Daphnia pulex: one gene and its partners. The protein of the gene in region 3 purifies or fractionates together with the protein of the main gene of each other region. This does not show direct contact. Links are inferred from orthologs where the notes say so. Each region holds a gene or a part of one and is shown on either strand. Other genes may lie near its edges. The genes, in order: DNA (cytosine-5)-methyltransferase 1-like, ATP-dependent DNA helicase Q4-like and NAD-dependent protein deacetylase sirtuin-1-like.

Evidence for each region.
Region 1: the proteins of NAD-dependent protein deacetylase sirtuin-1-like (region 3) and DNA (cytosine-5)-methyltransferase 1-like purify together in Homo sapiens (affinity purification with western blotting; 3 studies listed by BioGRID and IntAct, with this or other methods). This does not show direct contact. The link is inferred for Daphnia pulex from reciprocal best matches to the Homo sapiens genes SIRT1 and DNMT1.
Region 2: the proteins of NAD-dependent protein deacetylase sirtuin-1-like (region 3) and ATP-dependent DNA helicase Q4-like purify together in Homo sapiens (affinity purification with mass spectrometry; 3 studies listed by BioGRID). This does not show direct contact. The link is inferred for Daphnia pulex from reciprocal best matches to the Homo sapiens genes SIRT1 and RECQL4.

What each region holds. Positions count from the first base shown.
Region 1 is NC_060019.1:5,827,925-5,831,661, reverse strand, and holds the start of DNA (cytosine-5)-methyltransferase 1-like, read left to right. Parts: upstream 1-864; 5' UTR 865-1,034; intron 1,035-1,155; 5' UTR 1,156-1,173; coding exon 1,174-1,583; intron 1,584-1,646; coding exon 1,647-2,005; intron 2,006-2,069; coding exon 2,070-3,683; intron 3,684-3,737. UniProt on the Homo sapiens protein: Methylates CpG residues. Preferentially methylates hemimethylated DNA. Associates with DNA replication sites in S phase maintaining the methylation pattern in the newly synthesized strand, that is essential for epigenetic inheritance.
Region 2 is NC_060025.1:8,764,431-8,766,735, reverse strand, and holds the end of ATP-dependent DNA helicase Q4-like, read right to left. Parts: coding exon 1,939-2,305; intron 1,877-1,938; coding exon 836-1,876; 3' UTR 576-835; downstream 1-575. Other genes in the region: uncharacterized protein LOC124203353, read left to right, coding at 1-274, 336-534. UniProt on the Homo sapiens protein: An ATP-dependent DNA helicase which unwinds dsDNA with a 3'-overhang in a 3'-5' direction. Does not unwind more than 18 bp of dsDNA. May modulate chromosome segregation. The N-terminal domain (residues 1-54) binds DNA Y-shaped DNA better than ss- or dsDNA.
Region 3 is NC_060021.1:10,714,578-10,718,258, reverse strand, and holds the start of NAD-dependent protein deacetylase sirtuin-1-like, read left to right. Parts: upstream 1-820; 5' UTR 821-906; coding exon 907-1,009; intron 1,010-1,342; coding exon 1,343-1,466; intron 1,467-1,539; coding exon 1,540-1,801; intron 1,802-1,861; coding exon 1,862-1,984; intron 1,985-2,048; coding exon 2,049-2,242; intron 2,243-2,300; coding exon 2,301-2,719; intron 2,720-2,789; coding exon 2,790-2,907; intron 2,908-2,971; coding exon 2,972-3,243; intron 3,244-3,307; coding exon 3,308-3,498; 3' UTR 3,499-3,681. Other genes in the region: neuropeptide FF receptor 2-like, read right to left, coding at 1-55. UniProt on the Homo sapiens protein: NAD-dependent protein deacetylase that links transcriptional regulation directly to intracellular energetics and participates in the coordination of several separated cellular functions such as cell cycle, response to DNA damage, metabolism, apoptosis and autophagy.

The DNA of each region.
Region 1 (3,737 bases), on a different chromosome or scaffold from region 3:
CGTATTATTATTATTATTGTTTAGTTCAGTACCCAGAAATTTCAACATTCACTGAGTTGCTCCTTAACCTAACTTACACACAACAAAATCTCACGAACGCAACTGTAAAGAGAGAATTCACGCTCTTTACATAATAATAAGTTGCCGTATAACAAATACACACGATTTTTAGCAAAGGAACTTCTCCACTCATTCCACCTTCAAAGACTTTTTACATTTTAGTCTGTACGTGACTCACTACTAGTGGGGTGCGCTGAATTTAGAACAGCAAGTTTGTGAATGGGGTCCATCTTTTTATTGCAAACATGCACGTTTGCTGGAGTCCGCAGTTAACGAGATCGTCAACTTTTTATTTCGGTGCATGGCTAGTAAGGTAAACAGAAGGGAAAAAATTTTTTTTCGTGCGAAATATCTATATTAGTATCGATAAATAAAAGTAGGATACTAAAAAAGAAAGTTGTGAATAATGATCAAGGTTAATGAAGCCATGATTTATCGTTTCGGGAATAATGAGGTCATCATCTTCTATTTGTTGCATACGTTTGAAGTGAACTCATCAAACGTAGGCTATCATCTTCACGGTTTCTGGGATAAATTCCAGAATTTAAACATTCATCTTCTCTCATTTGGGGTAGTTTAAATGCAGTTTAAATACCGCAATTCAAACTCATGTAATTATTGAATTGTGTACTATACGTCGATACACGCATTGAAGGACGCACGGTTCTTACACTTTGTAGAAAGTTTGAATTTAAATTTTTTTATTTCTTATAATCTTATAATCTTATATCATTTTTTCATTTATTCATTTTATTTTAGATTGCGTCTTTTTTTAGAAGGTGGCACCACTGTCTCTGGCACTGTCTTCCATAATCCATAAAAAGGCGCGAAAAACGATCAGCTGAGAGCCATGACTCCATGAGTTAGTTGAATTGGCAGTGCTTTGTCAGTGAGAGATTTTGATTTTACGAATTCATTATTTTAGGTTTTTTTTAAAGAAGTCACGTCGGCCATCAGTGGATAATTTTCAACAAGTAAGTTTAAGTAGAATTATTATTCCCGATACATAAAACATACTAGACAGTTAACAATGTGCTTTAGCATTGTTTTTTTTTACAATAATTGCCTTATTCAAGTGTATTGGTATTTTTATAGGTATATTTGACAACCATAATGAGAATAGAATGCACAGATGGTGATGGGGTTGCAGGAAATGAAGTCAATGTGAAAGAAGAGCCCCCAGAACTTCAAGCTAATAGTGAATCAAGCCCAGACACTACACCCGTTGAAGAAGAAACCAAGCCGATGCCCAAAACAGTTGAAGAAGAAGCCAATAAGCCAACATCTAAACCAGTAACTGTATTGTCAAAGACAAGAGGAGTTAAAGTTAGGTATACATTTGATGAAGCTGCTGCGTCTGGTGAGGGGGACGATGATTTCCTTCCTGGCAACACAAAAAAAAAACGAAGAACTGCCAGCAGGCATGCAAAGGTAGAATTGCCAGATATTGGTGGCTATAGGCCATCAAGGAAGAAGAAAATCAACCGTAAAGATCCTAATCGCTGTCATGTGTGTCGTCAAAGGTAACTTAATCATTATTTTTCTTGTCTGTTATCATAAAATCAATTAATGATTTCATTTCCAAGGTTTGATTCTCCTGATTTGAAATATTTCCCTGGTCCACCAGCAGATTCCATTGAAGAAATTATTGCTCTAACTGATCCATCGTTGAGCTTGTTCACTGGTGAAGAAGAGGTCATGTCAGAATTGGATCAAAGACCCATCTTGAAGCTCACCCAGTTTGGCATTTACGACGAACCTGGCCATTTATGTCATCTAGACGGGGGTGCAATCGAAGCTAACCATTTACTCTTCGCTTATGGTTACGTTAAGCCTGTGTGGAACGATAACCCGGGTGTCGAAGGAGGTATTGCGACGAAAGAGATCGGGCCCATCAACGAGTGGTTCATCAGTGGCTTCGATGGAGGAGAAAAAGCAATCATGTGTATGTTTTAATTTATTAATTAGATGTTTTAAAAATATTCCTGTATTCATTTATCAATTTTCAGGTTTCGCCACTTCTTATGCTGACTACTATTTAATGTCGGCTTCAGAATTGTACGAACCCATCATGAACGAGTTGGAAGAAAAGATTTTTCTGAGCAAGACGGTCATCGAGCTCTTGATCGAAGACGACAACGCCGAATATGAAGATCTACTGACTAGACTGCAGAATTCTTTGATGCCCAATGGTTCCCGCGTATCGGAGGATTCTCTTTTGCGCTACGCCGAATTTGTCTGCGATCGCGTATATCACTTTGATGCAGCTGGAGCCGAAGACGAGCCGCCACTTATTCTTAGCCCGTGTATGCGTACGCTGATTCAATTGTCAGGTATCACACTCGGTAAGAGAAGAGCTACCCGAAAATTGGAGAAGAGACGCCAGCCTAAAGCCAAAAAAGGCCCCAACTGGACAAAAGCTACTACTACGCCATTGGTTGGTTACGTCTTCGAGAGCTTTTTCCGTGATCAAATGGAGCAAGGAGAGGACAAATTCGGCCCTACGTCTGCTCCTCGCCGTACTCGCTGTGGTATTTGCGAAGCCTGCCAGCAAACAGACTGCGGTAAGTGCAATTTCTGTCGAGACATGGTGAAATTTGGCGGTTCCGGTCGCAGCAAACAGAGTTGTGTCCTCCGGAAGTGTCCGAATAGAGCTGTTCAAGTGGCAGACGACGATGACGAACTGGACGCTGTTCTCGACACGGAAATTGAGGTGGTGAGTCTGGATGTCGACCACAAAAAACCTGTCAAGCGCCACGCCTACAAAATTGAATGGGATGGACCGGAATTGAAAGAAGTCGACGATCTCACTTTCTACTCTGCCGCGATTGTCAACGGAGACATGCGCGTCTTTGCCGGAGGCCACGTCACCATCGAACCGGATGATCCTAGCATTCCCATGTATATTGCCGAAGTCATAGCTTTATGGGAAGATGGGAAAAGTGGGGAGCAGTTTCTACACGCCCGCTGGTTTTGCCGTGGAACTGACACTGTGCTGGGAGAAACTTGCGACGATCCCAGAGAACTTGTTCTGATTGAAGATTGCGAAGACCTACTCCTGTCTGCCGTCGTGAAAGTTGTCAACGTCAAGTACAAACCAGTGGATCCCGTCAAATGGAAAGCAGAAGGTGGATCAGATGACCCGTCTTTATTTCAGAGCGAAGAAGATCATTCCGACACGACGTTTTGGTACCGCTATCTCTACCATGGACGGACCGGCCGTTTTGAAGATCCACCCGAATGCCCGGACGTAGTAAACAACATCAAAGGATGTCCCTGCTGTGATCGCCTGGATGTTATCCGCCAACGTGATTTTGCCAAATTGGGCAACAAGTTGGATTCAGGCGGTTTTGACAGCGTCACATGGCACGAATTGGATATCAAAGTCGGTGAAGCCGTTTTCCTCGAACCGGGCGCTTATGCAATGCGGGGGCCAGATGGGAGTATTGTTAAAAAGGAGAAGATTGATCCAGAGGAAGATGATATTTTCGGAGTAGAGTACGACGAAGAATATTACCCAGAAAAGTACAGGAAAACGGACAACATCAAAGGATCGAATAACGACACACCCGACCCATTCTGTATTGGCTATGTCGTTGGTATTGCCTATAATGGCATCCTGCGTAAGTTAATTATTAACAATTAATATTTAATTCATTCGTGTCTAACGTGATTTC
Region 2 (2,305 bases), on a different chromosome or scaffold from region 3:
AACGGCGTTGTTCCGTCAGTGCTGCTGCTGCTGCTGCCAAAATCGATTCATCCGCCAAACCGACCAAGAATCCTGTGGGAAACAGTGCAATTGAGCGCTTTCTGGAGGGGCGGGAGAGGTTATTGTTTGTCGGGCGCCTACTCTTCGCTTTCCTTGTGCTCCTCAGCCCGGGCTACTTCTTCCCCCTGCTCTTCTTCATCCGTACCTACTGCCACTTCTGGAAGCACAACGCCTCCGTCGACCAAGAAGAAGAAGTGTTTGAAAGAACCCACAGGTTGTTGTTTCAAAGTCTTTGTTTTTCTTGTAATAATCCCATCATTTATTCATTTATTCAGTGGGCCCTTCAGCTTCTTTCACGCCAAGGCCTTTCTAAAGTACAGCTGCCGCCTGTGCAGAGAAAAGATTAAAACGGAGAAAATGTTCCGCATTCATTCGAAAATCGGATCCAGTAGCTCATTTAATAAAACTGCTGCCTTCTCAGAGCCCGAAGTTCAGGATTACAGTGATGATTGCCCGCACAACCATTTCTATTAACCAACATGCCAACATAACCAACGAAATTTTTTTACTTAAACGGTACCTACTTTTGACATATAGAAAATGGTGGTTGCCTAGTACCCACATGACTAAATAAGTTTATATATTTTTCCCCTTACATTTTTAAAAATAGTTTGTCCCTCGAACAAAGTAATTGGGGTGGCGGTATTTTTTTTTAAATAATTGACAATTTGGCTAAGGAATTAAATATTTTATGTTCGTCTCAAAAATGTATCAATACAAGAAAAAAAGAGAAAATTAAGCTAAAAATTCATTTTTTTAAAAAGTATAGCAATCATCATTTTAGAGCTAGCAATTCTTGGGCGCCCATCCGGACGAGGAGGTTAAAATCTTGGTGAAGCTGGGCACGCCAATGTTGACGGGCTTTACCCCAAATTTCTGCCGGATAACACGGACTGGAGATGCCGTGAAGGATCCTGGCGATAGATCGGGCGGTGAAAGTCTGATCACGGTAATTGAGAATCAAACTGCGGATGGTGGCCCGGATGAATTGCTCTTGATTGTCCGGACAGAGGACGACCTCTTCAACAGGTTGACAAGCTCCAGCTTCTTCTTCGAAATAATCTTTGATGAAACTCCGCAATTTGTCGCTCTTGGTCTCGTCCACCGTCTCACAGCAGGAAATTGATTGGGAGTGAGAAATACTGAGCAACGCTTGATGGATGCGCTGGAGCTGCTGAATTTCAGTGGCCTCGCGATTCATGCAGCGCTGATGGATGAACTCTAAAGCGGCATCTTGCTCAGCCTCTGAAAGATCTCCGCGGACGTGCAGGTGGAACGCCAGGTCGCTAAACTCCACCAAGATGCCCGAACGTCTCGGTTTACCACCGATGGCGACGGCCGAACGATCCCATTCCAGTGATTTCAACTGACGTTTGACAGCGCCGCTTTCCCATCCTATTCGGCGGGCAACGTCGACAACGGCGAAGGTCCGGACGGCTGTCGTATCCGCTTTCTGTAGGGCAAGGGCTGCACCTAGAGCCGGACACTCTCTGGCGGCCATTTTCAGCTGGAGGAGTCCTCCGTAGCACCGGACAGTGCACGTAGCGTAAACTTTTGAACCCACTTCAAGGACCCAGCGAGACGGGTGAGATTCCAAGTGGCAGAGTAGCGTCGCAATATTCTCTTCCGGCATATCCAGCTCTTGAATGGTCGACTCAATAACCATGGCCACTTCGTGACCTTTGCATTCGCCGGAACCGTCTTCTTTCCGGCAATCGCAAGGTTCCGGTAAAATCTTTCTCATCAATTTTCTTAAAACGTGACGATCAGTGGAATTGGCGTAAATGAATCTCTTCAATTCTTGTAAATCTCTTCCCTGAATAAGAGAAAAACAATTAGGATCGTAATCCAATTAAACAGGATCATTTACTAAATTACCTCCGAGTTGAGGAAAACGTGGCAGTGAGCAGGTAAACCATCACGTCCAGCTCGACCGATTTCCTGGACGTAATTTTCGAAATTTTTCGGAGCGTTGTAGTGGATGATGGCCCGGATGTCGGACTTGTTGATACCCATTCCAAAGGCTACGGTGGCCACGACTATTTTCATCTTGCCCGTCATGAATTGTTTCTGCACAGAACTTCGTCGAGCTGCTGTCAATCCTGCGTGATAGGCTTCAGCGCTCCAGGATATGCCTCGACGACGACCGCCTCCTTTGCTCTCCAAATCCTTGACAGGATCTTTCAAATAGGTTCGGAGTAGAGTGGCCAGCCGCTCGCATTCCTCCCGTCTGATACAGTAAATA
Region 3 (3,681 bases):
AGGTGGGACGGACAATCCACAAAGGAAATGGGAAGTTGACGTTTGAAAAATCCATTCCTGTGAAAGTCTGAAATTCGCACGAACGACTTGAGTTCGGTTATTACGTGTGGGAAAACAATGAATTCACTTACATTGAAAAAAGTAGTAATTCCTTGCTTGTCGGAAGGTAAATCCAGCAACTGAGCTCTGCTGTTGTTTATCAAGCCTGATCGTTCTCGACTGGAGTCAAGTACTTACCGGATCCCGCAGCACTAATAATCCTCACACACACTCAGCGCAATTGTTGTGACGCACGCTTTCAAACAAGAGCGGCCATATCGGGCGGCCCCGTGTGCTATGCCTATCAGATTTAATTAAGTTCGTCAAATCGCTAGACCATGTTTTACAACTTTTGGGGGTATAACGCACCGCGGGCCGGCTCACCCCTATGCGATTTGGTTTTATGGTCCACGAATATTATAAGTCAGTCAAACCTCGGGGTCGCTTCTCTAGTACAAATGCCATACGTGAATTATTTTCCCGATATCGCGTAACCTCATTCGTGATGTTTAGTACATCTTGAACTAATTTTTTTCTCAGTTTAATTTGGTGATACTGCATTTCTGATAAACCTCCTATTAAAAAAAAAATTATAATCAGCAGCTTTCCTCCTTATGCGAAAATCACAATGCCTTATCTGAACCGCAACGTGCGGAAAGTGGACTAAGGTTGATATAAAAGCTCGACAAGGAAAGGCCTTGAATTAATTCCCTTCCTATTTCATGTATACATGTCCTTGCGCATATTTTCTTCCGGTTTCGGGACGAATTCGATTCATACTGGCAACGCTGACCTGCCACCTGGCGGCCCGAAATTTGTGAAGAAGAAGAAGCGCCCTCTACCCCACGATCGACGGAAGACGAAGCAATGGCCGACGAACAAGGCGAGAACTTTCACAGTCCCGTAAAACGAAGCAGAACTTTGCTGCCGATTGACATCTCACAGTCCTTTATTGAGGGCCAACAGCTTTGTAAGTACCCGTTTGATCGATTTCATTCATTTAATGTACTTGTGAACCTAATCAAAATTGTTAGCAAAAGATTGCATTCGGTTTTGAGGTAAATGGCCTTTTGCTTCGTTAGTGCGGCCATTGGCGGATGGGGGGGGGGGAGGGGAGACGCCCTTCTTTTTGGTCGATTGCTGCGTTGCCAAAATTTTGGGGCGGCATGTTTGAATGTCATAACAGTGTGATGACACTTGTCAAATACTGTTTTGGTTTCTTGAGTTGAAATTTCTTGATGGCTGTAGAGTTGATCCATTGTGAGCTTACTTGAAATATTTTTTTTTTTTTTTTAAATTTCAGCAAATGATGCAGGACAACTAGGAAGCTGTGAAATGTTCAACGCTGGGGATTCAGGCTTCAGCGAGTTAACGTCTTTAGCCAGCAGCGAGGATGAAAATCTCACTAATGATTTACCATCTACCAGGTAATGTGGACTAATGTCTTCTTTTTATTGTGTACAAACATATGGTCTAACTTTATTATTTATTTATTTGTAGCTATGCTTTGCCAGCCATTCAAGATGCTGATGATTCAATGGGCAATTTGGAGAAAGATGATGATACCTCCTCAGATAGTGATGTTTCAGACATAAGTGGGTTGAGTGACTTGAGCAATCATGACTGGGAGCCATCATCAGGGACGATGTCTTGGGTGCAACAACAGATGCTTCTTGGTACCAATCCTCGAACCATCCTGAATGAGTTGGTACCAAATGATGCTCAAATCCCCACCCATCTTGACGATGTCACCCTTTGGAAGGTAAAATTATAAATTTGTAGCATTGTCAAGGCAACTAATCATAATTATTGAATAAAACAGATAATCGTGAATATTGTCAGTGAACCTCCAAGGCGGGAACGTTTACGCCACATAAATGCAATATCCGATGCCGTCAGATTACTCCGTAGCTGTAAAAAGATTCTAGTTCTTACAGGAGCAGGGGTAATTTTTTTTTTTTTTTTTATAAAATAATTTACCTCATTATATTTGAACAAATTTTGTTTAGGTTTCTGTTTCCTGTGGTATTCCCGACTTTCGTAGCCGTGATGGAATTTACGCTCGCTTAGCCGTCGACTTCCCTGACTTGCCCGATCCTCAAGCTATGTTTGATATCCATTACTTCCGAAAAGATCCCCGACCGTTCTTTAAATTCGCCCGAGACCTTTGGCCAGGACAGTTTACACCTTCTAAATGCCACAAGTAAACAAATTCTCTTGACAATTTTGAAATTTCGCTAATGAAACGATATTTTGTTTAGGTTCATTCGTTTGCTAGAGAAACAAAACAAGCTTTTGCGCAACTACACGCAAAACATAGATACACTAGAACAACAAGCAGATATCGAAAGGGTTATCCAATGTCATGGCTCGTTTGCTACTGCCACTTGCCTGCGCTGCCAACATCGCGTCCCCTCGAACGAGATAGAAAAAGACATAATGGAACAACGCATTCCACTTTGTCCGAAATGCTCGGATGTGTCGAAAAATGAAGACGAGGCCAGTACATCGTCGTCGGTGGCATTATCGGCCCAGCCGATCATGAAGCCTGACATTGTTTTCTTTGGAGAAGGAATGCCAGACGAATTTCACCGCGCTATGGTACTCGATAAAGAAGAATGTGACCTGATAATCGTGATTGGGTCATCGCTCAAAGTCCGCCCTGTCGCACTCATCCCATGTAAGTTATTTTAAATGTCATCTTGTAACCTTAAAGTTCATATGCAATAAGTTTCTCTTGATTCAAATAGGCGCCCTACCGAATCATGTTCCGCAAATTCTTATCAATCGCGAACCTCTCCGCCACATGGTCTTTGATGTTGAACTGCTTGGGGACTGCGATATTATCGTCAACCAACTGTGTCATTTGTTAGTATACAGTAATTTTCATCAGCCAAATTTGTTGTCTCATCAATCTTCTTGTAACAATCAGACTGGGTACACAATGGAAAGATGACATTTGTTACCGCGAACCTCTAACAGAGATCAGTCGCCTACCACCACGCCCCACTCCTTCTGTCGCCGTACCTGCACCCATTTTCCCCAAAAGAGATCAAGACGATCCTTTACGCCGGGACAGTGGGATGTCTACAGGAAGCTTAGAAATGGAATCAGCCGAGTCTGGTGATGTTGAACCAGTTACTCATGACATGACCGGATGGTGGGAGCCGCGAATCAAAGTGAATCTTGCCGATCAACTCCCAGGTAATTTATTTTTGTTCGGTTGTTGTCTATGTCATCTATATGCATTTCCTTGCATAAAATTCAGAAAACACTTATCTCACCGTCCAACCTGGTCGATACCTGTTTCCTGGTGCTGAACTCTTCTATGACCCAGACGAAGAGGTAGAGTCCGATTCTGACTCATCCTCTGATTCCAGCGATTCGTCTGGAATTGATGGAGGAGATTCAACTCAACCTTTCCCGGAGCATGGAGTAAAAAGGAAAGCGATGGATTGACGACGTATTCCGAAGCAACGACAAAGCTTCTGTTTTTACCATTGTTATGTTAACAATATGGATTCTATTTAAAAGCTTCAAGCGTGTGTATATAGACGAAATCTCTCGATGGTATTTAGTATTTCTTTTTTTTCCTGTATTATGGATAAGGGGAAGTGGAATTTTCATTTTTCTGTGAAATCT